4 linked regions of the Xenopus tropicalis genome follow. The protein of the gene in region 2 interacts with the protein of the main gene of each other region in a pairwise test. Links are inferred from orthologs where the notes say so. Each region holds a gene or a part of one and is shown on either strand. Other genes may lie near its edges.

The links.
Region 1: the proteins of rhebl1 (region 2) and txnl4a interact in a two-hybrid assay, tested with the Homo sapiens proteins (2 studies listed by BioGRID and IntAct). The link is inferred for Xenopus tropicalis from reciprocal best matches to the Homo sapiens genes RHEBL1 and TXNL4A.
Region 3: the proteins of rhebl1 (region 2) and fhl3 interact in binary tests that used the Homo sapiens proteins (3 or more experiments, as listed by UniProt). The two-hybrid records come from large-scale screens. The link is inferred for Xenopus tropicalis from reciprocal best matches to the Homo sapiens genes RHEBL1 and FHL3.
Region 4: the proteins of rhebl1 (region 2) and prkab2 interact in binary tests that used the Homo sapiens proteins (3 or more experiments, as listed by UniProt). The link is inferred for Xenopus tropicalis from reciprocal best matches to the Homo sapiens genes RHEBL1 and PRKAB2.

Annotation. Positions count from the first base shown.
Region 1 is NC_030682.2:96,970,081-96,978,093, reverse strand, and holds the start of txnl4a (thioredoxin-like protein 4A), read right to left. Parts: upstream 4,133-8,013; 5' UTR 4,120-4,132; coding exon 3,967-4,119; intron 1-3,966. UniProt on the Homo sapiens protein: Plays a role in pre-mRNA splicing as component of the U5 snRNP and U4/U6-U5 tri-snRNP complexes that are involved in spliceosome assembly, and as component of the precatalytic spliceosome (spliceosome B complex).
Region 2 is NC_030678.2:136,445,735-136,453,953, forward strand, and holds the start of rhebl1 (GTPase RhebL1), read right to left. Parts: upstream 5,247-8,219; 5' UTR 5,175-5,246; coding exon 5,123-5,174; intron 4,181-5,122; coding exon 4,109-4,180; intron 4,027-4,108; coding exon 3,959-4,026; intron 3,877-3,958; coding exon 3,794-3,876; intron 3,475-3,793; coding exon 3,418-3,474; intron 2,064-3,417; coding exon 2,016-2,063; intron 1,213-2,015; coding exon 1,128-1,212; intron 638-1,127; coding exon 548-637; 3' UTR 1-547.
Region 3 is NC_030678.2:83,929,358-83,937,552, forward strand, and holds the start of fhl3 (four and a half LIM domains protein 3), read right to left. Parts: upstream 5,505-8,195; 5' UTR 5,394-5,504; intron 1-5,393. UniProt on the Homo sapiens protein: Recruited by SOX15 to FOXK1 promoters where it acts as a transcriptional coactivator of FOXK1.
Region 4 is NC_030680.2:118,094,379-118,101,876, reverse strand, and holds part of prkab2 (5'-AMP-activated protein kinase subunit beta-2), read right to left. Parts: intron 5,812-7,498; 5' UTR 5,797-5,811; coding exon 5,635-5,796; intron 5,348-5,634; coding exon 5,190-5,347; intron 4,279-5,189; coding exon 4,185-4,278; intron 2,934-4,184; coding exon 2,813-2,933; intron 2,006-2,812; coding exon 1,872-2,005; intron 1,074-1,871; coding exon 1,005-1,073; intron 26-1,004; coding exon 1-25. UniProt on the Homo sapiens protein: Non-catalytic subunit of AMP-activated protein kinase (AMPK), an energy sensor protein kinase that plays a key role in regulating cellular energy metabolism.

The sequences.
Region 1 (8,013 bases), on a different chromosome or scaffold from region 2:
ATGTACGATCGTAGGTATTTTACGATAATGATGCGACAAAATCTTTCCCGAATTATCGTTGCCCGTGGATGGCATATCGTATGGGAACTCGATCGCCATACGATCGTTTGTCGATATAATCGTTCATCGCACAACGAGCGAAATCGCCTCGTGTATGGCCACCTTAACTTTCAAATTAATGCTTTATAATTACAAAAAAAAGGAAAATGTGAGGTTTTTTTTAATTTAAACAATAAGCAGACTGTAATTTCAACACAAGTCAGTGTTCATTGTTACAGTCAGTCTTACAGTGTTCATTTTAAACTTAAGTGTTTTAGGTGTATACTGTCCCTATAAGTCTACTAAAAATAAATTGAAAAATTAAATAAACCTAATAGGATTGTTTTACCACTAATATGGATCCATGCAGCTTAGTTACCTTAGCTTAGTTAAGTACAAACTACTAATTTATTATTACAGAGAAAAAGGAAACCATTTTAAACAATCACAAATGGGAATATGGGAGATGACCTTTCTGTAATTTGGAGCTATTCTCATAATGGGTCTCTAATAGTGATGTCTGGGTTGAACCCACCCGCAAATGTTTTGCTGAGGTCTGCCCAAACCAGGCCAACCCACAAGTACCGGGTCAGCCTGCACATCACTAGTTCCTAGATAAGGGATCCTTTACCCGCAGCCATATTAAATATACAGACAACCCGCCCTTAAATAGCATAGTTAACAAATCAAGATGCAAAAAAGTAAATAATGCAGTAAAATGAAATGTTTGTTGATTTAAAATTTTGGTGTTACTGATTCTTTAAGGTGTTATGACTTATTTTTTAAGTATTTATTTTTTTTTACATAAAAACAAACAATTTTGTATAGGTTTTTGAAGTTTGTATGTATTATCCAGTAGACAACCCCGATGAATTTTAAATCTGCAAAGCTATATGTTGTTTGTTAAAGGAAAAGTATTTTTTAAGTAAAAAATCTATTCTACCCTGCTCCAATAATTGCCCTATCCTGAACACCGTTTATTATTTTGAATGCTTTATTACAAAATACCTTCCAAAACTTTGCATCCGGTCATTTCAAATACAACGAACTTCCCTCTGCACAATCCACTATGCGACGATCGACATCTCCTCCTTGCCCGACTCCAAAACCGGAAGTCAATGGTTTGCCTGTACAGAAGTAAGGCTAAGAGGAGATGTCGATTATCGCATAGTGGATTGAGCAGAGGGAAGATCGCTGTATCGCCGTATTTAAAATGACCGGATGCAAAGTTTTAGAAGGTATTTTCTATTAAACAATTCAAAATAATAAAAGGTGTGCAGGATAGGGCAATTATTGGAGCAAGGTAGAATAGATTTTTTACTTTAGTACTTACTTTTTTTTTTACTTTTAGTGTTACTTTTCCTTTAATCATTTTTAGAAGCAATCAGATTAATCAGTGGTTTTCATCCAAACAGACCCCCCCCAAGGATAAATAAAATAAAAGTGATTGACTTCTGAGGATTAGAGTGTTTATTTATGTGTGTTGTGAGCATTACACAACAGCAGAGCTGCTAAGTTCTCTGGAAGCAATGCCACCAAGGGTTGTTGGCCAATCAGAGGCAAACAAAACTAACAGCATAAAGTGTGATTGCAAACAAAAGTTGTAAATGCCATCGCCACTGGACTTCAGAACAGTGGAAACACATTCTCTGGAGTGCTAAATGGCGGTTAAATACAGCTTGACACAGTTCCCCAGAAAGAAATTCAAAACTCTCAATACAACTGTATAACATTTTTACAGTTATATTTATTAAAGGGTGAGTTTTTATACAATGATAACTAATAACTAAAATGTTAACTAATCTCTAAAAATCCAAAAATAAATAAAAGAGCTGTGAAGGAGAAGATAAAAACACTGTAGTGAAGGAATACAGCACTGTACAGTCTGACTGGTAAATGTTAAAACATAACTTGTAGGAATAAAATACAAATCATACTCCCCCCCCCCCCCCCCCTTAAAAAAGATCCTTCAATCACATGGATAACTTTCTTTCACAGGCAACAGATATTAACCAAATAATGCAGCTAACTGTGCTGTCACTCAGCATCTGCCTTCATCATGACCTAGCAGGCTAATATTTCATACCAACACTGATGTAAGAACAGTCTTAAAAAAGCATAAAATATTTTGTAACTTAAAAAACAGCAACAGCCAAAAGCTTAGATACAGACAGAACACAAGTCAGCATAACAGAAATGCATATATGATGCACCATTTATCACTCGGAGCATGATCTAGCCATGTGGTAATGCACTAAGCACCTAGCTTATCTCTGCACCAGAAGAAATACCTTCAAAACAGCAGTTACGGCACCATAGATGAGGTAACAAGAAACACCATAATCAATAAACAATTTCCACACACTTAAAGGGGAATTAAACACCCCAAAAAGCAAAATACTGTACAACTGCTCAGAATACTCTTCTCAGCACTTTTACTATTTACACTGAACATTTTAAGATATAAGCACTTTGCAATAATAATATAATTTATTTGAAACCACACAGCTCCCTACTGTTCTGATCAGCTGGCCATCATAAAATGATGTTACTGAGTTACTCAGTAGGCAATATCATTGACCAAGGAAACCTCTCTGCTCAGTAACTACCTTAACAGAGCACTGCAGTTTTAAATTCATTATATCAGTGTACATTATAAAAGTGCTCAGAAGAGCATACTACCAATTTTACATTAATTTCTTTTGGGGTGTTTAGGTCCACTTTAACATTTATATTTTTATGTTCTAACTAAAAATGTAGGCAAATACCAAAATAGATATATAGTAATAACATACTTCATCACAAGATATTCGATTAATGGGCCCAGTCCTGTGATCTTCAATCACCCCAGACAGTAGACCTCGAACGCAAATACAGCAAGGCAGTGTATGTGCTTTGGGATGCCTGTGAAATAACACAGAATATACAGAATCTCGCCTTTTCTATGTTTTTTCTTTATTTCCAAACATGAAAATACTTAATCTTTGAGGTTCCATATGTAGAATCATTAGCACTCACACAACATTGGCCAAATTTGCCTTTGGGCAGTTACCCATAGCAACCAATCCATGATTGGCTTTTTCAGCTAACTGCATTTAGAACAATGAATGCAACAACTTGATTGGTTGCCATGAGTTACTATTCAAGAGCAAAGTTGCCCAGTGTTGATAAATGACCCCCACCGTTCTCAGAAAACATATGAACAAATATTCCAAGGGGCCTCAACCTACACAGCACCCTTACTTGATGGAATGATGTCACAATTTTTGCTCTTCTACCCCTCTCTCTAAACTAAGGCTCCCTGTAATGATCACCAACTAAACTGGTAAAAGAAATGATCCCCTTTTTATATAGAATAATTTACCACTAGAGCATTTCCTAGTTATTTTCTCTTAAATTTGCAAATGTATTTGAGTCGTGCATTAGCCTTTACTTTCTTCATCCTAAGTTCAAGCTGAATATGCTCCATACTCTGTTTAAAAGCGGCATCACCATAACCCTCTGTCTCCTGGTTGTGACTTTAGATCAACATGTTTCCTGTAGAGCTCCATTTTCTTATTTACACTGCTATTTGGTTAGTAGGGGTGTTGACCAAAGTAACCAGTCAGTGGTTCCAGTCACTGGCTTGAAGATAAATAGGAGAAGGCCTGAATCTATATTAATATGTATGAAAAAGACCCACTCCTGCCAAACCATTTTTAACTATGCCTTGAACCAGCTAGAGAAATCACACATGTGGGGGGTCCCCACCACTTATGTCCCCAAAGGGGGGGGCAGCTGCTGGAGGAATGCTTAGAGGCAGGTGTAGGGGATAAGGCGGCAGGCCCATACATACAGGCATCTGGACCTTCTACCTGCCTGAACCTTTTTTAATCCAAACCCACCTGACCTGCAGGTCTTCGATACACTGCTATAAATATATCTTACCTTTTCAGCTATACTGTACAAAACTTCATCCATCTTCATACAAGTTGGATCCCAGTCATGGCCAAAACGTATAACTAAAACTCTGTCTTCCTCAGACAAGATTGCCTGGTCGACCTGCCAGCCATTGTGCAAATGAGGAAGCATGTACGACATTTTGGCAGCTTTGCTTTAAAGCTAAAAGGACAAGAAAAGAAGTATTGCAAGAAATGAAACACTTTTCTCAAATGCGTGAAGATACAAACATACTCCCATCTACACTGACAGGCTAACATGCTAATACTTTCAATTAAAAATTATCTGGGCAAATTTTAAATATTTTTAATGGTTAAAGAGTCCGAAGTATCCCCCAAGATTATAGTTTACAGATGAGGATACAAATTGTAGCGTAATGCTGCTCGTAACAATCCGACATGAATCTGGGAAATGTGGGGCTGCAGTAGAGGCAGGGGGATTGCCTGAAGGCCACTTTGGGTGAGTATTGGTGCAAATTCATGTGAATCAATAGCAAGCTCCTGAGTTATACCAACAAGCTGCCCCAAAGCCTTATATATATATATATATATAGGCTACATACCACCCAACTGTGCTGATTTAACTAATACAGTCCGCAGTCCCGTACGGTTGTTTAAAAGTCTTGCGGTGCTGTTGCCGTGTAGCCCCTCGCTTCCTGCCGTACAGCGAGCCAACGCACCGCAAGTCTCATCTCGCGAGAAGGTGACGTCACATCAATACTATAAACGTGGTTACGCAGCACGTAGCTGCCTTGAGGCCAATGTCAAAGGAAGATGGAACTTGAGTTGAACATGTGCTGTTTCTTTTCTTTATATGCACAGCCCAGTAGCTGCAGCTAGAGCCTATGCCCCAACAGAACCTTTAAATTAACTAGATTAGACTAGACTATTTAAATTTAAATAGATTTAGCTTATGCCAGGCACAGGGAACAGAGAAATAAGGCTTTTAAGTTCCTGGTTGTGGTCATACCCCCCCAACTGTCCCGCTTTTTACGGCGCATCCCGCTGTCCCGGATAGTTCCATGAATGTCCCGCATTGCGGGACATTCATGGAACTATCCGGCACAGCGGGATGCGCTTGCTGTAGCCAGATGTTCTTGCTTCTTCTGCGGCTTCGTTATGCCTCTCCTTGTGCAGCGCGACAGGCCCTTTTATAAGGTTGCGCCTGTGGGTGTGACGTCATTACGCACGGAGCGCAACCTTATAAAAGGGCCTGTCGCGCTGCACAAGGAGAGGCATAACAAAGCCGCAGACGAAGGCTGCGCCTATGGGAGGTACTGTGTATTGGGGGGGGTACTGTGTATTGGGGCACTGTGTATGGGAGACTATTGTGTATGGGGGCACTGTGTATGGGGGGGCAAAACTGGTACTTAGTTATAACTCACTTATAACTGACTGCCTTCTCTCTATATTTGTATTTTAATGTAGGAGTTGCTATATTGTTTTCCTTAGGTCGTTCAGTATGAGGGTATAGCACATTTTCATCTGCGCCCGCCATTTGATCTATATAAAAGGGGTATTTTTTTAAAAATGGGGTGCAGTAATTGGGGCGTGGCCACAAAAGGGGGCGTGGTCAAAAAATTGCCGCGCTGCACACACCAAATCTTTTTGTCCCTCTTTTCATTTTTCAAATGTTGGGAGGTATGGTGGTGGTTACCAGCAAAAAGTAGTCTTCAGTTTTTAGTTGCTTTTCCTTGGTGTGTGTAGGCTATTGTATTGTGGTAACATGTAAAAACTACACATCTTTATTTTGCTGTTGAAGTAGGACTGGATTACCCATGGCCCACAGGGTACTTAACTCAAGGGGTAACTGCTGCTGCTGTGCTGAGTAGGAGTGGTTGGGGGCAGAGCAGATGCAGGCAGTTCACAGAGTCTGGGCATACCGGGTTTTTTCCATGTAGCCCGGTGGCCCAGTCCCACCCTGTTCACTTACTGGGTAGATGCCCATGTTTCTATTTCTCTATATATTTATTGCATTATTAGCCCATGACCACTTCCTGCCACACTTTAATATAGTGTTTGGCTAGGGTGGTTCTTCCTTTTTGGCCTTCGTCTCTTGACCTAGGTGAATGTATTCTAGGGAGCCTGAGATCAACACAGCGAAGCATCTAGCCCTAGAGGAGGTCAATCTCTCTAATGAAGTCAGGGAGCAAGGACCCTGTGAATGAGGAATAGTAAGAGCAGGTTGATTCTTTAATAGCACTCTAGGAAAGTGAGATAGTGAGTCATCGTTTGTAAGAGCAGCTCTTTGTGCTCCAACCAGGAGAGACAGTGGGGTGTAGTCTCCTAAAAGGCTCTGCTGCCTTAGAGAATGGACCGCAGTAGTGACGGGTATCAGGTTTAAATTATTTTCCAAGATCCAGGTCTGCTGTTGGGATCCAGGCCATTTAAGGTGGAAACCCTAATGATATTATTCTACTTGCCCTATACTGGTCCTCTGCAGTGGTGCATTATTCTGAATATGCTGCAAATCTTATGTATCTGAATACCTGCAATGATATCAAGCATTGCAGGGGAAAACAGTTGTCCCGTGCCCGGACGATGGTTGCTTTATAGGGGGCCCAGCCGTGATACAGTTTTTTAGCTCAGGTCCCCTTTAAAGAACTCCGGGCCCTGTCATGGGTTCATTGGTGGCCAGCGGGAAATTTGATTGGTTGCGCCCCATGCATCCGTACGCACAGGGCGCAACCTTATAAAATGTTAAGATGCAGCGGGGAGCTGGCACAGATCAAGAGGACGCAGAAGAAGGAAGTTGCCAGTGGGGGAGCTGGAGGATGCCAGAGGAAGCCGCAGGGGAGCGGGAGTAAGTAGCTGGGGTGGAGGGCGGGGAGCGGGAGTAAGTAGCTGGGGTGGAGGGCGGGGAGCGGGAGTAAGTAGCTGGGGTGGAGGGCGGGGAGCGGGAGTAAGTAGCTGGGGTGAATTGTGTTGTGAGGGGCCCCGTGATTTCTGATGGCGGCCCTGAAGCATTGCGAGTATCAACTCTGCCTTGCATTTAATTTGTCTTATACAATAAACCTATTTCAGTTTTTTGCAAAGAACTGTCGTCATTCTAGTTATTTCTTTACATCTGGCAATGCAAAGGTGTAGTACAACAACACCATCCATATATACTCTTCCACATACAGAAGACCCATCCTGTAAAAAGGGAGTGCAATGTATCCCATGCTCTATTACTAGTTGGACATTTTGCTTGTTTCAGCCAACAAGGGGTTACACAAGGACTGAAATTAAATTTGCCACCTGGCTGGTATTTAAGCGGCCTAGCCAGTAAAAGGAGAATTTCACTTACCTTCTTGACGTAAATTCTATTTCTTCTAGTCCCAACATGTCAGTACACATGGGTAGCATCGCCTCTCCCCCACAGGAGAGAGGACCTATACCAAGCCAATTAAAATGAATCCTGCCCTATAAGACCACCTGACTGCCTCCTCACCACTGTTATACATTTGCCATAGCAGTACAGGAAGCAAAATTGGGATGGGAAACCTGTACTGACATGTCGGGACTAGAAGAAATAGAATTTACGTCAAGAAGGTAAGTGAAATTCTCCTTTTTTTCTGCGTCCCTCCATGTCAGTACACATGGGATCTACCAAGCCATGCTCCACAAAGCAGTAAGGGGTGGGAAACAAAAAGGTACAAAACCCAAAAGAGCTATAAAGGCCAAAAACAAGGCCAACATCCCGTAGAGGATACAGAGACACTAATGAATCCCTGAAAATTATACAAGAATGCTGAACAACCAAAAGAACAACAGCAATCCCCCCAAGGTATTGGTAAGTGGCTGACAACCAAAGCTCAAATTCCCAACTACTGCAATAAACATAATGAGAGAAAAGCAAGCCAGAACAAAAAATGTCCATTCCCTGCGACAGGGGTTCCCTCACAGACCAGAGGGCCTTTCACAAGACCCAGACGCTCACTGCAGATGACCATAATCCTGGCAAAACCAGCTCAAAAATATCACTACCCTAGCACAGCCAGCAGGCAAGAAAAACCACACCAGAAACTGCAACATGCAACATGAAGAAGTCCAA
Region 2 (8,219 bases):
ATCAGAGAGAGGTACTAATGAAAATAAGTATATAAATACTCTAATTCCCTCCCTTCCCTACCCCCACCCCTTAACAAATACAAGTTGTTTTTTTTTTTTACAAATAAACATAAATAGGCCCTGTAACAGGTTACACAGTCCAAAAAATCAATATATATGTACATAGCAACAGCACTGCTGCAAAGTTTGTGCAAACTGCATTATATGCATCCATAAAAAGGGCTCGATATTGTAAATTCAACTGCTGTTGCAGTCTGTGCTCGTCCATGACATAGCTACAGATTTGAAAACCAAAAAGTGAGATTAATCAGTTCAAGACTTGATAAATCATATTCCATACTGAAAGTATCAAAACGTAGGGAAGGTGTCATCTGACCCAGCAAAGGAAACATCATGTAATCTTCTGCCGTGCCAAAAAGGATTGCATTGATTGGTGCATAGGTCTGCTGCTGTAACATCACTGGGCAGAGGGATGTCACAACCACCAGGCTTCACACTTAGTTCTGCTGCTCCTCCAATCAGATGGTGCAGGAGGATAAAATTAATTTCACATGACACAGCATTTTTTCTCTTCACCAAAGGATCGCTCAACGCGGTCGATTTCCTCGATCATTTTAGTAAAGATCAGCTTACTCCTCTATAAAAACAGACAAAAAAACAGAAATTAAGTTGTGTATGAGAAATACATTGCAAATGTGCAATGAGCAGCAATAATTTTAAGGGCATCTAAGCTAAGTTGAAGGGGGTTTATTAAATTATTTTTTTTTTTTACACACCAATTCTAGCTGCATTCAGCCAAAGGAATGATTATTTAGAAACGAAAATGCTCTTTCCACTTCTATGGCCTCTTCACGCACAGAAACCTACATACACATATTATATAGTCTGCCATACACAGGAAGATTTTAGCTCCCAATATGGGTTCAGGCTGATCCGGCAGCTTATCCGCCCATGTATTGGCACCCCTGACGTGCCTGCCCGACCAACATCTCGCCTAAAACTAGCCAGGTCTCGATGGGGCAGGTTTAATTTTCCCACCAGATTAGGGACAGCATCAGTTTGTTTATGTGGCCCTTGGTTATAAGGCGCCTACGCCTAAGAAAGCATGTAAATAGTTACCAATTTACCTCAGGGTCTTTTGCTGAAACTTCCAGGAATGCAGCTCCCCAAGACTCTGCTAGTTTTTTCCCATCTTCTGGTTTCACTTCACGGCTACTCAAAAATAGGTTAAGAAAAAAAAAGTTACAAAAAAAACTTCTCAGATCAGAACTCAAAGCAAAACATCAGCAGTACTAGTAATTCAGCTATACCATGTGACATGCCATGTAGTTTAGTAATCAAAAGAGTTGATTCACTTGTATTGGCTTTACAGTGACCCTATTTTTTGCAACACAGTAGCCATAGGAGTTATTAAAGGGGTGGTTCACCTATAAGTGAACTTTGAAGATAATGTAGACATTCAAATTATATGACAATTTGCAATTGTTTTTCATATGGTTTCTTAATTATGCATGAGTACAGTTTATCCTAGTGATCAAGCAGTGGTTTAAATGAGAGACTGGCATATGAATATCAGAGGGACTGAATAGAAAGATAAAGAATAGAAAAGATTGTTTTGGCTGCTGGGGTCAGTTCCCTCCTCCCATATGATAGCTGGAAAGAGGCAGAAGAAGAAAGACTAATAATTCAGAAACTACAAAAAAAAATGAAAATGAGGACAAACTGAAAAGTTGCTAAGAATAACACATTCTATAACACAGTAAAATGTAACTTGACACAGCAGGATCAAAGACAATGGCGACCAAAGGGTGACCTGTATTGTTGGCAGCGCACTGATGTGGAAAAATGCATCATACATAGCCTATATGCACTAGCTGCTTACACCTCAGGACAGACCTTAGACACTTGAAAAACAAAAATCATCACTATAACCAAAACACGAGTGGGATTTTACTGAAAAATATATCAAAAACTAAATTAAATATTCAAAATAATTGAGTAATTTGAAAGCATACCAGTGAGTTGGCAGATCATTCTTATTCCCAACAAGGACTATAGGCATGCTGTAAAGAAAAAAGGAAAACATTAAAAATATTAAATTAGCAAACATATCTATATAAAATTCATGAAGTTTTCATGATATAAAATTTTACCAATCACCTAAAGCTATATTTGTTCAGGTGCAGATGCAGAAACACATTGCTTCAAGGAAACTTGTTGCTTCAAGGCATTTGGCTTCACAAGGGCAAACTGTGATGTTGGGGAAGTACTTAGTAAAGGTGGCCATACACGAGGCGATTTCGCTCGTTGTGCGATGAACGATTATATCGACAAACGATCGTATGGCGATCGAGTTCCCATACGATATGCCATCCACGGGCAACGATAATTCGGGAAAGATTTTGTCGCATCATTATCGTAAAATACCTACGATCGTACATCTACGTACGATCGATGTCGTTGACTTCCGCTGCTGGCAATCGTGACATGCGCAGAGAACAATCGTTGAAAGACAAATGTCTGACACTCACACCAACTGGCAGATTTTATCGTTAAACGACCAAAATTTTTAAACCTGGCCGATCGATTTTGGGGACGATAATGTCGGCTCGTTTAGTGGGCCGACGATCGTTCGTACACCACCAACTATACGATAACTTAACGATAGCATCGGATCGTTCGGGAATCGGTCGTTTGTAAGTAAAAAATCGGTCCGTGTATGGCCACCTTAAGTCTTACATGTATGGAGAAGTCACCAAAATACACATCTTTGTCTGGGAGATTAGTCACCCACAGTTACATCCTGGCTCCTGCAGTCAACATGCCTTTCTACCAGCAATAAAGTTAATCATCGGTGGGAAGGCATATACAACACTCCAAAGTTGTGTAAAGTTTTCTTTGATTTTTGTATATAATCTATATGTTCGATAGTGATGTGTGGGTCAACCTACACCTGACTCTAACCCGCCTGATTCACATCCACACCCAACCCTAACCCTGCGAGTCTCGGCATTTATAAACCAAAGTCTGACGTGCCCCTTTCTGATGTCAAAAAATGGGCGGGACATTCAGGTGAGGATCTATAAATAGTGAGTTCTCAGGGCTGAAGGGGGGCATAGTATGATCGCAGGCAGGAAGGGAGCATGGAACCCATCCAAAAGCTGTATGGATGTTGGCCTGAACCCACCTGACCCATGGGTAAGCCCAGGGCTGCTCCTGCCATGAGCCAAATTTTTGTCTTTTAAAACAAAATCTCTACTGGGTAACCTATGGCTACTGCGGGTTTCAGGCTGGCTCACACATCACTAAATGTTCGATATATACCATCTTTATTTGAACAGTGCTGTAAAATATGTCAGTACTTATGGTATAATTAGGAAACTAGGGGATGTTAAAAAAAAAAATATCAATACTTACAGGCACTTCCCTCTCCTGTCCACAAGAATGCTATGAATGGCACGTGCTATCTGAAAGCTGAGAGTAAAGAATTTTAATTAAAATCAAGAACTACATCAAACACCTTTTTAAAAATGCTGGGAGTTATAGATGCATATTTATTAACAGTAATTATCAAAAGAGCTAAAAGAAAATGATCTTGTAATTCACAATTTGTTTATATTTATATTATAGTTTGTTTTTAAAATTTTCTTTTGCTAACAGCTTAACAGAGTAGGAGTAACTATGTTTGACAACCCTGTATCACACTTGTCTATCTGGCAATTACCTTCAGTCATCAGTAGGTGGCGCACTCTCTCAATATATAACAGTCAAAAAAAAAAAAAAAAGAGCTTACCTTCTGGAGCATGCCACTGAGTATACTACAATGTATCCATGGATCCCAAAAATAAATGACTGAGGCAACAAAGAGTATTCGTCCTTAAAACAAAAAATGACAAAGGTTAGTTTGCTGTTGAACAATAGGATGTGAAAAAGCTCCTAAAAGTGGAAAACAACTCACCTGCCCTGCTGTGTCCACCACATCCAACTCAAACTCATCACTCCCCATAACAAAGGTCTTGCTCCAAGCTGCAGGGAGAGGGAATTCATTACTATGGGGGTAGAATATACAGGCAGCCAGTCAGGGATCTCAGCACAGACTTTCACTTACTGTTTTCAATGGTAGGCTCATAGTCCTTAGGAAAATCTCCTTTAATAAACTGAAGTGCAAGGGAAGATTTGCCTTGAAGAAACAAAATGAAAATATTAAAAGAATGCATTACACACATATAAAAGAAGTAATGACAAGCCCTGCGTCATATCTACTGCTACTATCAGCACCACTGCATTATCTTTCAAGTCATCTGGTAACACCCATGAGAATGAACAGCCAAATCACAGGGATTAAAGAACAAGCTGAGCAGAAAATCCACTTTACACAGATAACTCAGTGAGCTCCTTCCCCCCCACCCAAGTGATTGTGGAGCTGATAGAGTGTGTGAAACAGGACTGGCAGCTGTGTTTGGCCAGGTGCACTTAGCATGGAGATAGCCCTACTGAATCACTGCCTCATACACGTTGCGCAGAGTCATCAGGAAACAGAGCCATGTGCCTGGAACAATCCTGCTAGTACCCCACCCCCACCCATTAACAAAACATGTCAGCCGAGCCCATCCACAGAAACCCCCCCTCCCCCCTGCTCAGGGAAGCACTACTACACACCATCGTCACCACAACACACACACACTGGCCGCCGGTCAACCAAATCGCGCAGGAAATGCTATTACATAATACATTTTTGTATTGCTTTCTGCCTATCTGATGCACAATACAAAAGAATTGATGTCAAATCTCTAGTTACCCCACTATCTCCTTATAGCCTCACACTCCGACCCTGGTAGATCACCAGCAGTTCCCTCCCTAGTGTAACACTAGCACATCCACAGTAGTACTCCCACATCGCACTGCACGCAGTGTTACTTTTTATTCATTTAATTAGACACACAAATGCCAATATACTGGATAACAAGACTTTGGTTCCGCAGGGGACAGTGGGAACTGTAGTTCCCGGGTTCCCCATAAACTGTGATGTTCATCTTTGCAATGTAACTTATCCCCACCCGTAGGTGCCAGCTCCACAGCATGCAACTGTCTGTACTGCACCAAATAGAGGGGTAGCACTTACCTACTGAAGGGTACCCCAACATCACAATCTTGCGGTGTTTGACAGGCGCCATGACGATTAAGAACAAAACAAAATCCGAAATACGGACTTCCACCCTATGGAAACCAAAAATCCCAAAACAAATGCCTGCACTCTGCGACCCCTTGGAATATAGCCAAATCCTCCGCACACAGATCAAATACACGGGTTGTAGCAGGCTAGCCCCGCCCGCCTATGCTGTACGCCAATCAGTGGAGTGGAAAATTGGGTACGTGATCTGGATTGGCCAGGTTTCCCCCGCGAGTTCCAATGAAAGGCAAGCAGACGCTAAGGCGCGTTTATTCATTGTTTGGGTTGCGACGGAGGAATGTGGAGAATTCGGCTCTTCTGATTGGCGCTTTCTATTTCGGAGTGGGTTGGGCTTAGCACGCAGGAAACATGGAAACAAACTCACGTGTTGCCTTCTCTGGCTCCCGGTAGCTGCTAGGGGTGCGACACACGGGCAAGCCCTTCTCTGGCTCCCGGTAGCTGCTAGGGGTGCGACACACGGGCAAGCCCTTCTCTGGCTCCCGGTAGCTGCTAGGGGTGCGACACACGGGCAAGCCCTTCTCTGGCTCCCGGTAGCTGCTAGGGGTGCGACACACGGGCAAGCCCTTCTCTGGCTCCCGGTAGTTGCTAGGGGTGCGACACACGGGCAAGCCCTTCTCTGGCTCCCGGTAGTTGCTAGGGGTGCGACACACGGGCAAGCCCTTCTCTGGCTCCCGGTAGCTGCTAGGGGTGCGACACACGGGCAAGCCCTTCTCTGGCTCCCGGTAGCTGCTAGGGGTGCGACACACGGGCAAGCCCTTCTCTGGCTCCCGGTAGCTACTAGGGGTGCGACACACGGGCAAGCAAGTATTTAGGTTCGTAAAAGAAAACGCCGTGAGCAGCTGCTGACTTATAGCACAGGGAATCCTTGGTCTTTGTCCAAAACCAGAAGCGACCGTGTATTTATTTGTGAGGCCAAAGGGGAAATTCTCTCTTGAATTAAGGGGCATTCTGGAACCTGTGCTATATAGCCTTAAATAGTTATCATTTACTCTCTCCATTTGTTTCACATCAGCTCAGTTGTTTGTAAATAAAACAAATACAATTATTTCAAAATTAGAATATACTCCTTTAATCTGTGGGTGTTACCCTGCCAAAGTGTGGTAATTTACAGCAATTAATGCATGCGGTTATTTTCTAAACTGGATTTGGCTGATTAAAGCTAATTGGCTGCCGGTGATTGGCAGCACAGGTGATCTGTACCGACTGTGTTAGTAATTAAGGCCTGGTACGTCTTCAATGATGCTGTCTCATTAAAGTGTTTATAATTTGTAGAAACCCATTTTTGGCTTCTGATCTGAGCCATAGGCTATGGAAAAAAAGGTCAGTAAGGTCTATGGTGACTTTAAAGCAAGTTCTATGTGTCTTATCCTCCCCCTCATTGTCCACTTTAGATTGAGTAATGTACCTGGGCAGTTGGGCTACTAGTGTGTAGGACTGTCTGTATGCATGGACACTAAACTATAGAAAAAAAAAAAACAGGAGGAAGGAGAACCAAAATTCAGTTTTTGTGGTTAATGTTGCTTTGCAACAGCTTTTGCTGTGATTTAGCCTGACGGTGAGAATTAATGTTTTATAAAGAAGTTGAAAATGTTTTGTTGTATCATTCAAGAGATATTTTAAAGCTCTGGCATTTGAGGATGTAGAGTGTGTGCTTCTAATTAGAAATTAATGGAATTTCCAGTAAGCAGACACATATGGGGGGAGGGGATAGTTGGAATGTTTGAACTAGTTCATTGTCCCACTACTTTGGGACCAGGGTCTCCTTAGCTGTCAGGGGTCTATTATGAGCAATGACTTCTCAAGCAAGGGCCAGCCTTTAGTTCCACTGCTGGATAAACGCATCTTTATATTTTGCTCCTGGCTAATAAAATCTGGATACAAGTCTCCATTTTGTATTTTTTTGGAATGCCATGAAACTATAGTAGGTTGTTCCAAATAATAGTTTATCACATGGAAGCCTTTCTGGTATAGATCCCTTTACCCTGTAAAGGTCCAGTATCCTCCTTCTTGGTAGGTCTTATTAGGGTCACGGTGCACAGAAAATGTACTTCTCTTTCACCCTGTTTTAAGCTTGTTGCTATTGACCCAACACACCAAATTCTACATATGTTTGGTGACTGTCTAATATGAGCATGTGCACATAAACATGTTTTAAATATGTTGTCACTTTTTTTTTTTATCTTATTACTTGTGTAATTGTCTTTAGAGAATCCATACTTAATGAGCATGGTTTTAAGACTACTCAACAAATCTGCTTGAACTATTACTGCACCAGAAGGAGTGTCTAGAAGATCCAGAGAATACCCCATGAAAATTGTTTCTAGTGCCTAACCAGCCAAAACATCTTTAGCTCAAATCTGGCTTTGACTTTTTTTTTTTAATCTGTGTATACTTCCCTCTAACTGATAACTAGTTAAGGCAAACCCTGTGTTTTTTGGTCCATTCTGCAAATTTATTTAACACTCAAGCAGCAAAATGCCTAGAATTACACCTTATGCCGTTGCTCTAAGACTGTCCTGATAAGAGGTAATTCTGTAAATTACATATCATCTCCCCATAAAGTTAAACATGCCACACCATTTCCTATGTAAATTACTTCCCTTCTAGTCCATTCTTTTAGTAAAGATTAAAACACCCTTTGCCATTGTTGCCTTTCAGTAAGGAGCTCCTATTTTGTAGTTTCCTGGCAGTGAAAAAGAAGTTACAGGACAGATCTATAAGTATCTGTCTTGTCAGTAAATGTAGTGGGTGTAGAAGGTTTAAGCATTTACACAGCTGACAGTGATCATAGCTGTAAGGTGAGATGGTCTGATCACATACTGTAAAATCTTTAGCAAAAGGTTACTTCCATGGAGGTTCCAAGGAGTATGTTTTCTTTTTATTGTATTGGTGGTCTGTATCAGTATTTCACAGGCCACATTTCTTTGTTGCACAAATCCCTTAATTTACAAAATATCTTAATTGTATATCTTTATTTTGATAAAATAGGTAAAAAAATTATTGTCTAGACCAGTGATCCCCAACCAGT
Region 3 (8,195 bases), about 53 Mb from region 2:
GGCCACCTTTACACATCTGTTAAAGATTTTACTCTTGTGAGCTTTCAGGAATATCTTCTTTCCTTATCCGGAAACCAATTATCCAGAAAGTTCCGAATTACGGAAAGGCCATCTCCCATAGACTCCATTATAAGCAAATAATTCTAATTTTTAAAAATGATTTCCCTTTTCCCAGTAATAATAAAACAGTACCTTGTACTTGATCCCACCAAAGATTGAATTAATCCTTATTGGAGGCAAAACAAGCCTATTGGGTTTATTCAATATTTGAATGATTTTTAGCAGACTTAAGTTATGGAAATCCAAATTACAGAAAGATCCCTTATCTGGAAAACCCCAGGTCCCAAGCATTCTGGATAACGGGTCCTATACCTGTACTGCTATTATAATTAATATCTATAAATTTAAGAACAGAGGTAATAATTAGCTACACAGCTACCTTCAGCTAACACAATGCGGTTCTGTCAGGTAAGTACAGGTATAGGACCCATTATCCAGAATGCTCGGGACCAAGGGTATTCCGGATAAGGGGTCTTTCCGTAATTTGGATCTTCATGCCTTAAGTCTACTAAAAAATGAATAAAACATTAATTAAATCCAATAGGATTGTTTTGCATCCAATAAGGATTAATTATATCTTAGTTGGGATCAAATACAAGGTACAGTTTTATTATTACAGAGAAAAAGGAAATCAATTTTAAAAATCCTAATTATTTGATTATAATGGAGTCTATGGGAGACAGGCTTTCCGTAATTCGGAGCTTTCTGGATAATGGGTTTCCGGATAAGGGGTCCGATACCTGTATATGTAAAAAAAAAAAAATATGTCACCAAAAAATGTTAGTCTATGTAGCTTAGATAACATTTAGTTACAGGCATTTTCACATGTTGTATCTGCATGGCATCTTAAAGGTCACATTTCCTCCCTGCATGATATGTGGAACATATGGTGTTTTGACCACTACTGTTCTTGGGGAGAACCATGGTATTCAAAATGCCTTTCCTTATTTGCAGCAGCATCCCATTATCTCATTCAAAATAATGGGAAATTCACTGTATCAGACACTGGCCTTGTCAGGCAAGGATTGCTTGGGAATGATGAAGATCAGAACTGGCATAATCATTTAACATCACAGTTGTGGTTATTTTGCAGAAAACCATGCATATCTTTTTTTAAATTCACCAAAACGTTCTTTTTCAATTGGCCGCAATCTTAATGACTTTACTCCTGCCCGTAACAGGGAGAACTGTGTAAAGGATACTTTCAGCAATTATTTAAAAAACTAAACAAAAAAAATTTTGATTCTTTTTCAGCAAAATAGCTGTAGTGGTTGGCATTGGGCAACTGTGTCCACTGATTGGGCAACTGTGTGCTGGATGAAATTCTGCCTTATCATCAATTTGTCTCATTCTTCCCCCCTCCCATCAATGACAGTGAAAAGCAAGAGGACAAAGATAGGTTTGTTCTGCACATTTGCCAATCGCCGACTACAGAGCAACAATTGGAGGGAAAGTATGCTATTACATAACTTGAATCTGCAAAAAAAACCTTGCTTTTGCAAAGGAAAATAGGGTATTATTTCATCCGGAGACTACAATGAAAATAGTACCCCTAAAATACACGTGACCATGAAAAATTGAGATCTCTTAAAAAGTAGCCTTGTGTTACTCAGGAAGAAAAGCCACTCTCTGTCTGTAATCTCATCTGGGCTACTGTACCACGGACAGGAAATTGCCTGTTGCAGGAAGTGTGTGTGGCACAGGCTTAATAACTGAACTCAATGGAGAAAGAGTGGTTGCCAGTGTACACACCACTGGGACTCTGAGACTGACTGGAATTCTAACTCAAAACATCTGTGTGCTAGAAAGATGCCCAGTCCTACTCATGAATGAGTCAGATATCACTTGTTTTTTAGATATATTTTCCAGTCTTGTTGCTAAGGCCATGCAACAGTAACCATAATAACAAAGACACAAAATTTACTGTTGGGCAGTACCTTAATGAGGTCTGGAAGAAAATATTATACTGCATCATCTTGAACACTGACAAGTATTTCTGTCCATGACCCCCAATGCCCTTACTAACCCTTATTTAATCTCTTTTGGTTGACATTTCTTGGGTTATCAGCAGGGTGATAGCTTCTCATCTTTCAGTGACCTCTACTCCCGTACCAGTTGGATTGGGAAATAGTTTTTAGAATCCCAATATCTGTTTAGGTGACCTCTGCAAAGAGGGTGGACAAAAACACTTCTCATGTTTCCAGATGATACCAAAAGATTGGAATTTGTAAATATACAATAACGAAAATGGCCTGACAAATCCCAGAAGTCAGGTAGCCATGTTACCTAAATTTTCACTCTGGCTCTCAAAGTTTTGGGTGTTTTATATGACTATTGCGAAACACTATCAAAAAGTCACTGGAAAACCATTATGGAAGGGTAAACTATAAGTGAGTGTTAGCTGAGACACTCACAGCTCAAGCTTTATGTAGTAACAATATTCTGCCTGGCACAGTTTTATTGCTGAGCAAATGGAGCATCTTATCTGCTTTACCAGCTATATGCCAATACATCATCACAGTGGACCAGATAAGTAATTTCTGACAAACTTGATATTTTGACATCATCAATAACATCCAGAGCTTGCCAAATGGTTTTGGGTTATAGTTTGGTCCTTTCTGATTCAAGCTACATCATACAGTTCCATGACAGGGATTTAGTTGCTGTGAGGTCCTAACTTTCCTAAAAAAAGCTAATATCTGACACTGACTGCATACTATATTATCCGATATGCACCATTATCAAACAAACTTGGACATTATAGAAACACAGGTGAAAATTTGCTTGGAAACAGTAACTTATAACAATCAATCACATACATGCCTTCCTTATTCTAACTGTACTTGTACAGTGTAACCTAACTGCTAAAAGACAAACTTGTTCCCATTTTGTCCTTACAGGTTTTCTCTACAATCAACCATTATTCTTACTTAGTCTTACATACTGAATCCTTTCATGTGTGTTTTGGACCACCATTTATTCTGCTTTTTCTTTTGATAAATAAGACATCATAGTCAGTGTGATATGAATATCCACTCAAAAAGTCATTGTAGATTCTGTAGTGTCTTTCACTATCTGACCAGTGTCTCATTTACTTCTTCAGTCAGGCCCAAAGCTTATAGAGTAGTGTTAAGTTTTCCATAAAGATGTTACTTTATTTATTTTTTTTACTTTATTTACCCTTCCTGGAGCATATCGCTCAACCGGATATAGCACAGTGACAGCTAAAAATTCCATATACACATTTTTACCCAACTTCTAAGTGACAGACAGCTGCAAGAAAAAAATCTAAAATATTAGTAGACAGGTTAATGTCTCTTAGTAGTAGCATTCTTTATTTATATAGTACCACATGCAAAGGCTGGACCCCCTGCATGGCAGGGGTGCCAACCACTGTGCTACCATGCCGCCCTAAGCTGTAGGATATTCCGGTAAAATTATTTTACTTTAAGCAATGGTCTTGATTAATTATGTGACCAACTGGATAGCCACAGAATCATCTAGTGTATGGTCACCTCTGTACATCTTATTTCTTCAAAGTACTTGTATGCTGTGTTTGAAAAATACAAAGCCTAAGCAATGAAACTCACTCATGCATGGATCCCTTCCTTTGTCCAAGGACTTGGTTGATTGTTGTGTATATAATGGATTATATATGTGATGGCATAATGTATTCCACAACGTATGGTGCAAGAGACCTTCTAAAGAGGAAGGCTTTATCTCGGCACTGGGTGATCTATCTATAAAATGAATTTCGTCATCCAGTTCTTATGAGTTTATACATGTCAGCAGCAAGAGCGAAGCAAAAAAATCATTAACGTATTTTTATACAGTATATTTTGGCAGCTTGCCGGCAGACTTTCTCTTTGGATTGAACAGAGCTCCCCCTGTCTGTGTTTCTATGCAAATACTCACATTCTAATACATTTTCATCAGTCAGAAATATGAAGTAGCATCTTTACCACCTGATATGTTTTCTGTCTTAGAACAGCTCCAGTTTATACATACAAATTTTAAACATGGTTTTGCTTGCTTTGCTCAGTTAACAATTCTTGTCTTCTGTTTCAATTTAATTAAATACAGGTTCTGATTATGTATCATTTATGTACTATCCCAGACACAATACAGCTATTTCTTTCTGTCAGTATGGAAGTTATGAGATTCACATGAGTACCATCAAGTACACCTATCCATACAAATATAAATGGGGTCAATAGCAGTTTTCTTTGTCCCAAATATACAGTATTTGGCATACATTAAAACTGTTTTTAGCAATAAATATTCATACAATAATTACATATCAGACAACTCTTCCTACAAAATGTATACTCTGATAACTCATTAAAGACTGCAGTTATTCCCACTCTACTCTTTTAGAAGTGTTTAATAATGGCAATACAAACAAAAAAGCTTGCTATTTTATTAGCAATTTTATGTTTCTCATAATTCTTAGCTGAGCTGTATTTTATATCTTGCACTAAATGTATTAAAATTAACATGTACTGCAACTGGCACAGAAGACCCAAAAAGAGAACAAACAATACAGCAAAAACAGTAAGCATAACACTTGTAGGTATGTTGGTGTTTGTATGTAAGAATATATATTTTGATTAAAATTATATATACATATATATACATACATGCAAAGATTTCTACAGATAGCGCACCTATAGCTACAGTTTATACTACATGCAACAGGCAGAGGACTTTACTATCACAGCTTAACATTCATCACAAATACTTTTTTTAAACAGGAAACCCAGAGGTCATTGACTCTGATGATCAGAACAGCGCTTTGCTTACCAGTGCCTACAGAACATACTGTCTTTAAAATTCCAATTAAATTTAATTAGGAGCAGATAGGGGCTTTTGAAAAATGAACTGTTCATTTTTTTTAATCTGTTCATCAATATGGGTTTTAAACACCCAGCTGAATTAAGCAGGGTATGAGCAATACAATTCTAGTATCATACCACAGAACAATGCCCAAACTTAGGGTCCAGCACAGGAGTCAGACACAGACATACACAGACAGATGATACTTCTAATAATACCCAGTCTGTAGTTAAACCTGACACTTGATGGTTTAGAATTTCGTGAAACAAAAGCCAAATACCAGAGGAAGCTCCGTTTTCAACAATAGAATCAGAACGATAGTAGAAGGCACCGAGCTCGGCGTTACTACAGCAAATAAAATAAAGGGAACTTTAAGCGTGCATAGAACAGTGCTGCCGGGGGTTAATAAAGTGCAGCCCTTAGCAAAGGCACAAGAAATGCAAAAGCACAAAGCTCTATAAATGAGATATGATGAGAAAATAAAGCTTACGAATTACCTTTTATTTCTTGAGTTCCAAAAGGCAGATGCAGGAATGCAGGCAGCAGTGAAGCAGATGAGATGCAGAGAAGCACGCTCAGCGCTGGCTGACACACAGTACAGTACCGATCACTTACTCACAGAGGAAATGACTAACTCCCAGGACTAGCCCTAATTCCTAAGGTACGCTTTATTAGCATAGGAAAGTCACGCCCACCCCGCTCTGTGCTCTGGGATAGGGCGGGGCTTGGAGGAGTGACAATGACCAGTCTAGTACCTGGCTCGAAAATCTCGGCCAGCTGTAACCCCTTGACTGCTGGATAGAGCAGCAGCTAATTGGCTAAAAACTTGGAGCTAGCTGTAGAGAGGTGAAATAAGTGTATAGAGGATATACATTATATTTATAGTTAAACAAATTACGTGCAAGTTACAGCTCTTTAAGCGCAGTGCTGTCTGTATTCGTTGGCCAGTGCAGTCCAATAGGAAGCGGCCTGCTAGCCGCTCTGCTATCCAACAACTGAAGTGTAGTCGCATCCTGTTGCAGCGGATAAGAATGTTGTCAAATATCACCCTGACGAGCAAGCTTTATAGGCTCTTACAATCTACATAGGGCTCATTTCGCAATAGGCAAAGTGCAAAATTAGGACACAAATCACGGTTTTGTGCTTTTTGCAGAATTCTAAAATTATTATTGCCTGTTAAATAGGATGTGCCTCAACTTGTCTTCAGTATGTCAAAATAAAAAGCATTTCTCAGTGCTAACGGTGCAATTCAATTAAATGCAAAGTAGTTGGGTACAAACCCCCATATGTATCTTTTCTTTTTAACATAGTATATGCTATCTGCTCCTGGGGAAATGACTCCATTCAGCCCCAGCATCATTTCATTTTACCTAGAGCATGGATCCCCAACCTTTTATACCTGTGAGCCACATTCAAATGGAAAAAGTTTTGGAGAGCAACACAAGCATGAAAAAAGTTCCCGGTGGTGCCAATGAGTGCTATAATTGGCTATTTGATAGCCCCTCTGGTGACTGTAAGCATACAGAAGGCTCTGTTTGGCAATTACACTGGGTGTTTATATAACCAAAGCTTGTCTCCTAACCAGAAATTAAAAAAATAAGCACCTGCTTTGAGGCCACTGGGAGCAACATCCAAGGGGTTGGGGAGCAACATGTTGCTCATGAGCCACTGGTTGGGGATCACTGACCTAGAGTATGCCCACTCCAGACAATCTGTGGGTTCAGGCAAATGAGGGGCTGCTCCAAGATGCCATAGAAAATCACTATTTAGTGGGCAGGTGGGGCTGTTTGGGCCTCTGCACTTAGATTGCCAGGGCTTAATTTGACTCCCAGACATGGCCCACTCCCATTACAAGCCCACCCCTTTGTGACCCATGATCGGACCTTCAAATGTCTCAGGGACCCCCTATGCTATAGGGCCCTTGACTGGACTCCCCACTGCCCCTCCCTGATGGCAGCCCTTGTCCAGTGCACTATGAACTTGAGCTCAGTTAGTTCAGGATGAAATAGTATATTGCCATGTTCAGGAAAGTATATTTTGGTTAGAGGTCTTCTTGTATTTGGAGCATCAGTCCTCATGGCTACTAAACAGAAATACAAAAAAACAAAAATATATTAAGCTTAGTGTAAGAAGTATTAATACTAAAAAGAGTATTATTTTTCCATAAGCATGCACTTCTAAAAGCTTAGTAGACATCATAGTACAGTCTTATTATTACATAAAAAAGCAAGTCAGTCAAGAATTTATTTTTAAATAGGCATAGGCATATGACATGTTTTAGAGCTTCCCAGATAACAGATCTGGGTAAAACCAACAAATTGTTATTGGTGTGTAGCTGAAGAGACCAGTACAGCAACACTGTTATGAAGGCTTTATGTCCCTTGAAAAATAAATGAAGACTATAAATACAAACTATGAAATATAATACCATTGTGCTTGGGCATTTGTATAGCTTCATGATCAGAGCACTTTCTTGAAAGGTAATTTATCATTAGAAAATGTGGCAAACAGCATTTTGCATAATCAATTTTCTCTTCTTTGTCAAGAAATTGTACTTGTGCTTTTAAGTGTTTGCTGTTCAAAGTCAGTGGCATTTTGTCCCCTGCCTATGGAGCTAGAAAACAGAGCGACAAATCTCCATTGTCGCAGGCGATTAATGTCCCCGCAATGCCATCTCACTGGCTAGAATGTAAATCACTGGTGGGATGGCATACGCGGTGTGGAGATTTGCCTAAGTCGCCCAAAGTTTCCAATCAAGGCAACTTCGGCGACTTCGGCAAATCGCGGCACCGCGTATGCCATCCCACCGGCTAGAATGTGAATCGCCGGTGGGATGGCATACGCGGTGCCGTGATTTGCCGAATTGCGGGGGGGACTAATCTCCCCGTGTACCCTCTTAAACAATGCCAAATGCCCTACTTGAGGCTGATGGCAAAAGGGGCTTTTTCTCTGCATCTTTCAGCTGATGTTTCCTATACCAGAAAACTGGAAGCATCAGTGACTTTGGCCACTTATCAACCAAAAACGTCTGTGTGTAACTACATTACCCTAGATGTAATTAAACATGGCAATATATTGGTTACTCCTGACCTAGTGACATGGGTATGTGAAAAAAGCATGGCCTACCCAATCAATATCTTATCAGAAAGGTAGGAACATAACATACAAGAGTGCATTGGACTATGCAATTGTCTCGTTACAGATATGCACAGAGTCCCATGTAAAATGTCCCAGGTACCAAGTGATTAAATCCAACCAATTAAAAACAAAAAATTTGTGGCTAAATTGGGCAAAGATCT
Region 4 (7,498 bases), on a different chromosome or scaffold from region 2:
TCGCACTAAGAACCATTACTCCATCCTGAAAAACAAAAATCGATACATCACAGAAGGTTGGTACATTAAGTGCGTTGTGGGTCCCCAACATTTATAAGGGGAAACTATTCAGTCAGCTTAGCTTGTGATGACTATCAAATATTATTGATCAGTTACAAGATTTAAGATTAGTTTAAGATAAAAACTATAAACTGAAATATAAAAATGTATACTGCATTATTCTTGTACAGTTAACACATCCCCCATTGCATTTAACTAAGTAGTAATTCTATGAATTTGCACTTTCAAGCAATTCTGAGAATTCATGCGCTGGCTTGTAAGGCAAAAAAATCTTCCACCCGCCCGTGTCCACTACTTCCCAGCCACTTATGTTGAATAGGTAAAAGAGCGGCTGGGGAGGGAAGCAGACCCCCTGCGACCGCTGCAATCTGGGCCCCCTGCAACCGCGGGGACTGCTTCCATTATAGTGTCCAGCAGGAGTGGAGTGTGGGACTGTGTCCTGGAAGAGACTGTGCCGGGATTTGGCTTAACCACACAGGTTTTCCAGAGCAGGCTTTATTCATATTTTAGCACTACTTTGACCCACACTCTTTCGTTTATGCAACCAGCATGCATGAAATCCTATTTCTTGTGAGTTACTGTCCCAGTTTTTTTTAATAAAGGAGCAGGTAAATCACATGAAGGGGCATATTTATGAAAGTGTAAAATTAGAGCTCACCACTGTAAAATACTCCACTCTGTTTCTTCATGTGGTATTTTTAGAGGAGTATTTATCAAATGGTACATTCTAACTTTCACCTATTGATAAATACGTCTCTAAAAATCCCAATGGAATGAACAGAGAGTGGGTGAATTTTACTGTGGTAAGGTCTAATCTCACAATATTAGATTGTTAACGATATTCATGATGCTGGCAGCTAAGCTGTATGGTAGTCCTTTATACTTTTCTGCATTACTAGGGTCTGAAATATTTCCTTTAACCCCTTATTAACAGAAAACTTTACCTTTATTGACAAAGCATACAGATGGTTTAGCATGACGTGATTGGGTTCTGGAAGGAGGGCAGGATCACACTAAAATAAACATACATGTGTTAGAGAAGGTTTTAACATAACTTCATATTCAAACTTTTCATGTGTTGCAAGTCATGTCTGTACACTTAAAACACAAAATGTGTTACCAGTAGGAGCAAATGATTGTCCTCTGCTAATACTAAGAAGAATGTTAGGAATTTTAAGTAAAGAGATAAAAGAAGGGTTGAAGTGTTGTGTAACCACATACTGACCTATGGGAAATGCCAGCATTAAACATGGATTTTGTATTAAGATGTGCCCACAAAAACTGTTCTACACATTTCTCTCTTTATACTGTGGGGGCAATATAGGTGTATTGATTCTTTCAAATCTACTTTTTCAAATTTATCAGCTTAAGGGCGAGGTCAGATGAAGCTTCTCTCAGCCCTGCGCTTTTCTGCCAGGCTGAGAGAATCGGATCTGCTTCCGTAAGTTCCTCAGAGCTGAGCGGATCAGTGGTTGGTCTGGAAAATGTTGCGAAGCTGCATGCTGCCTGGCCATTATGAACACTATAAAGCATTTCTAGAGACTTTTATATGTAGCCCCATTAAAGGAAAAGTAACACTAAACATTTTTAAGTAAAAAATCTATTCTACCCTGCCCCAATAATTGCCCTATCCTGCACACCATTTATTATTTTGAATGCTTTATTAAAAAATACCTGCTAAAACTTGGCTTGCCTGCTCCTGGATTAAGGGCAATAGAAAAAATACATATTTGGATCTTAATTTCTCCAGGTAAAAGAACATTAACAAAAGCATAAAGAGCTTCTTCAAATATATAATGCTTTAAACTCACAGAGATGTTGGTGTCTTTGTTAAGTATAACTTGGAGAAGATGGGGAGGAAGGATAGGAGGTGATTTATAGCGTTCCTCTGGCTTGTAAGCATATAGTTCTTGGCCATAAAGTCCAGGAGGGGAACTTGATAAGTCTATCAAGAAACAAAATGAAAAATAATAGGTGAAAAGGGCAACAAGTCTGCATCAGATCATTATATGTAATACATTTATCTTCAGATCCACTGACAGCAAATACAGGCACTAAATCTTAATACAAAAATATTTAGAATTCTGTGTGAAATGGAATAATTTCTTCCTAAATGGACTGAGTGAAATTAAATAATTTCTCCCTAAAATATTACACCCCTTGATAATCATAGAAGGAAAGGCTAATAAAGAGTTAATCTCAAGCTGCAGGCATACCTTCAGCTCTCTCAATAGTGCCATTAAGTCTCCCCATATTTCTCCCGATCAGAAGCCAAACAGGAAGAAAAAACGCTGAGCTGTGTAAAAAAAAGTTCCCATAATGCCTCACTCCTGCACCCAGACCCAGACCGGTGTACATGCTCAGTTTGTAAGACTATGAGGAAGCTTCCTGCTGATTGGCTCAGATCCACATTCCTATGGTGGGGGAGGGAGTTCTTAGCATTCTTGAGGGAGGGGGGAGCAGGACAGGGGAGAGAGGAGAGAGCTGCATGTCTCTAGCAGAGGAAAACAGACACAAGAAATCTTTTGACAGAGAACTCAGTGCAGCGTTTCTGTGAGTGTTCATGGCTGTATTTACTAGATAGTAAGTGACCACATAGTTTATTGCTTGCAGAACATTCCTTCATTGTATATAGGCTGCCATGCTGATTGCTTCAGTTGGGTAACTAGCAACAATGCAATTGAAAGCACCAGATTACCAATGTAGAATAACAGGTTGTATTACAAACTAACAAATGAATGCCAGTTCCTACCTCTAGCTGATGTGTCAGAACTCTCCATTGAATCTAATTTTAAAGCATCAAATACTTCAAAATCCGACTTCTTAACATGGATCAAGTTGTTGATTGTACCAAGCTGGCTGGTAACCACAGGCTGAAGAGAGAATGAGACTTGCAGTGAAGCCACTGGTATAATCCTATCACTTTAACAGTCAGAACATTCTCCATATATTAGGAAAGCCTAAGAGTATGATTTAGCACTTACAAGCACTAGCTCTGTTCAAGTTGTGTAAATGGATGTGTATAATGCATAAATTTGAAACATATCTTGTTGTCTACTTTCTGTCATACAGAAAGTATCCAACAAGAGGGCACAAGCATGATTTAATTTTACCACAACAAGGCCAAGGTTAAAATGTGCAAATATATACTAGTTGTGATCAGTTCTGTATTAAAGTGATACTGACACCAGAAATTAAAACTTTTTTACATCTTTCATAACATTGTCTTTGCATGAGCTTTATAATTTTGCCATAAACATATTTCCTGAGGCTTTTACATTACCTATCTAATCCCCCATGTTTCTCTATGAGGGGGCGGCAATATTTGTGCAGCAGGAGTCTGTTAGCATTAGAAGCTATAACTGACAGGCTGAGAAGGGACAGTCAGGTTAGCAAAACAGTCGGGTTTAGGAACTTCAAGTAACAATTACTCACAAAAGCAGCCCTATCAGTGAAAAATGATCAACATGACCTATAGGTAACTTTTTATGTAGATTCATATTTTAAAAAGTAGTTTTTTCGTGTCAGTATCGCTTTAAAGGAGAAGGAAAGGCTAAGTCACTTGGGGGTGCTGAAATGTTAGGCACCCCCAAGTGACTTAGATCGCTTACCTTTTACCCCGGGCTGGTGCCCCTGTACGGAGAGAACAGCACCAGCCCGAGGTAGCAGCGAGCGCTTCCACTTCCTATTCGCTTGCGTGCGCATGCGCAGTAGAGTGAAAAGCCGAACTGAAACAAGAAAGTCGGCTTTTCACTCTACTGCGCATGCGCCGGCCCACGGATTTCGCTGGCAGAAGAAAAAGGAAGAAGGAAGCGCTTCCTGCAGGTACCCTGGGCTGGTGCTTTTTTCTCCTAACAGGGGCACCAGCCCAGGGTACAAGGTAAGCGATCTAAGTCACTTGGGGGTGCCTAACATTTTGGCACCCCCAAGTGACTTAGCCTTTCCTTCTCCTTTAAGCAGATACAGTTATGTGCAATGACACTGGGAATCATAACACACAAACTCATCATAACACAGCCAAATAAACAGTCATTCTCCCCTGTAAGCTTCTCATGTGTGGAATTTTGAGATTTAGTGTGAATGGATAGCCTTTCTAAACAAGCTACAGCTCTCCCCCGATTTACCTCAGAAGGGTCATGTACCCATTGGCCATCCACAAAAAACTTGTACTGATGCTCTCCCTCTGGAAGGTCCAAAATGGCAACAAAGTCATTGTGGCTACAAGACAAATTTAAAAATGAGAAGTTTAAACCGACAGAATGAATAACATGTAGTGAATAAAAAACCAAGTGCTTTTATACAAGTCGTGGAACTCAGTGACTATTAATATTCTTATATTTTACAACAGGGGTTACTATATTTAAGAAATTACACAAGTTTCAGCAACTTCTGTGACAGACATTACATTACTAAGCACTGATTATAACTGACAACATCAATAAGCACCATTTATAAGGATATAATACAGAAGAGCCACAAATTTCCTGTAAATTATATACTTAGAAATGGTGCTTAGTGATGTCATCAGTTAAAATCAGTGCTTAGTGATGGAGTTCCATGACCTGAATAAAAGCATGTGTCCTTGGGCCTTGTGCTTTTATGTAGTCATGGAACTCCTTGGTGACTTTTAATATCCTTATATTTTACAATAGGGGTACATTATTTACTTTATAATGTATAGTATATTCATGGCTCTTCTGTATTATAAACAAATATACACAAAAGTGCTAAGCTACAGTCTTATACAACTAAGATTTGTCTCTTAAAATGAGTATTTATTGATTATAGCTCTACAAGTCACTTATTTTCTTAGCAAGATTCAAACAAATATTTGTAGATGAAAGAGCGCACTATAGTATTAAAAGATCACATTCCCACTCCAGTCTCATATAGCTTTTAAGTTAATAAATATTTCTATAGGTATACATGCCCCTGGGCTGCTTTCATTTAAACAGGTGCCACTGTGCAAATAAAAAAGCTACCTGTTGTTAGGGAAAAAAATATTAAGCCTTCCCTGATATGTTTAAAAAGTATGACTTCTGCCCAGCTAGAGAGTTACAGGTAAGACAATCATGTAAACTAAAAAATACAAAACCAATATATGCCTATTTTTATGTAAGTTGTACTACCTTTTAATCAGTGGAATTTTGGCAGTCCAGTTGTTAAATGACCCAGATATGAAGACTTCTTTGCCACCTTCTGTCCAACGGATTACAGTGGGACGACCTTGCTGAGCTGATTTTCCAGGATCCTCTGATTCCTGGGGCCACGTTGAGTCACCAGGGTGCTGCATTGCCAAAATGTAAATTAGAAATAGATTTATAGCTCGGGAAACAATAACTTGTGGGTCTCCAGCTATTGTTGCTATCTACCTTTTGTGTCAAGGGATTTCTCAGAAATGTAGTTCAACAGCAGGAGGTCCACATATAATAAACTCTTTAGAAGAAGCACTATGGAATGTATTTTTGCATCCCTTCTAACACTAGCATTCGGGTCATAGTAAATGACCCCTATGGCATTAAAAGATCACATTCCCACTCCAGTCTCATATAGCTTTTCAGTTCATTGGAATACCTTAGATTCTTGAGTACTAAAGATATTTGGGTCGTCTGTGCTTCCAACCATGATTTTGTTTTCCTCATGCTCCTTAGTAGAGTGTCCCCCAGTTGCTCCATCTGCACGGTGGGACTTGCCATGCCGATCTCCAGATAAGCGATCACTTGCTGTGTTACCCATATTTGGCTCAGGCCACTGCAAAGCAAACAAGTTGTGGTGTAAAGTGTATTTTATATGAAGGGGAAATATGTAAGAGAGCCAAAAGTACAACTAATAAATAGGGTTAATATGGCTCAGGCTATTGTTTTAATTTTGAATCATATATCTTATTTAAGCTATGCAAAGAAAGCATGGTTTATCTTTACACAGCTTCTGTGTCTAGAAATGTGCAATGCAAGTCAATGCAAGGAGAGACAATGACCTCAGTATGATATATATCAGCCTCAGAGTGCCTGGAGTTTAAGAAATAAAAAAGAAAAATAAGCAATGGGTAACTGTAACACTCATTCTCACTCCTTTACTGGAATGAATGAAGGGCTCTATCACATGGGATCTGTATGTTCTTTCCATGCTTGTGTTATTTCCTCCAGGTACCCCAGTTTCCTTTCACACTCCAAAAATATGAACTGGCTACTGATATCATTGATAGGAACTTAGACTGTAAGCTCAACTGGGGCAGGGACCGGGTAGTAATAATAATAATAAAAAATATAAATAATAATAAGGCTATTCACTACAGATTCACTACAGTTTTTTGTCTTTTATCATTTACAAAAAATGGGAAATATTCTTAGACTGTAAGCTCACACAGGAATGGCCCTTCCCTTATTGCCTCCTACCAATAAGCAATTGTATATGTGTATTGTATCCCTAATCCATACTAGCTTTGCATGCCTTGTATATTAATTTTTTCCTTATTTTTTTGCTTTATATCATTACATAGTTTTTTTCTATATGTAGCTGGCTCTTTGGTTCATGAGATCAAGGACAGTGACATCTGATCTCAAGATGGAGACCTATTCATGTATCCCAGCATTAGATCCTTGTGACCTTGCTGCTCCAGTTATTGCACCCAAACAGAGCTGCCATAACTTTGGAGATGTACTTTGTATCCCCAGAAAAAAGCAGCTCTATAAATCCAGTTCCATTCTATTTGTTGAATGGGATCTCCACAGGAACTAAAGGTTGAGGCAATCTCACGTCAGTAGCAAGGCTTGGGCTCAGTTCTCTGCACAGGATAACAGCATATTGGTAATAGGTTTTAGTGAGTGTGGCCGAAATTGCTGCGTCTGAGCACGTGTTGGAGCTTGTGTTTTAAAGGAAATGTGAACCCAAATATACGAATCTTCCATAATGAAACAAAATGTACTAAGTAACTTTCAAATATACAGTAATAACCTCTTCACTATTCTGGGACATAAAATCGCAGTGTCTGTAAATCCGACACCTGGCAGGAAGCCTAATGGGAAACAGGACACAGTAATTAGCAGTAATTTACTGGCCAGCAGCATCTCTAGAGAGTGACAGGCACAACACAAGGACTAGAATATGGGGTTTAGTTATATACAAACACAGCAGCTACCACATATTACCCAGAGCTCCTTAGAGCAAAGCACTGCAGTTCATTTAGCAGCTTGTGTATAATAACTATGGCAACAGCAGTGCCATGATACAGAATTACTTTGCCCTCTAACTCCATTCCGCTTACCACAAAGGCTACTTTATTCCATTGCTCCTTTTATTAGTACAATACATATATCAATAGGCATCACCCAGGACTTATTTAATATTAACACATCAGAAGGACCTGTATATTATAGAGCAGTTACCTAGGAACTACATGAGAGTGAATAGAAATATAAAGCAAGGAAGCCAGGAGGGA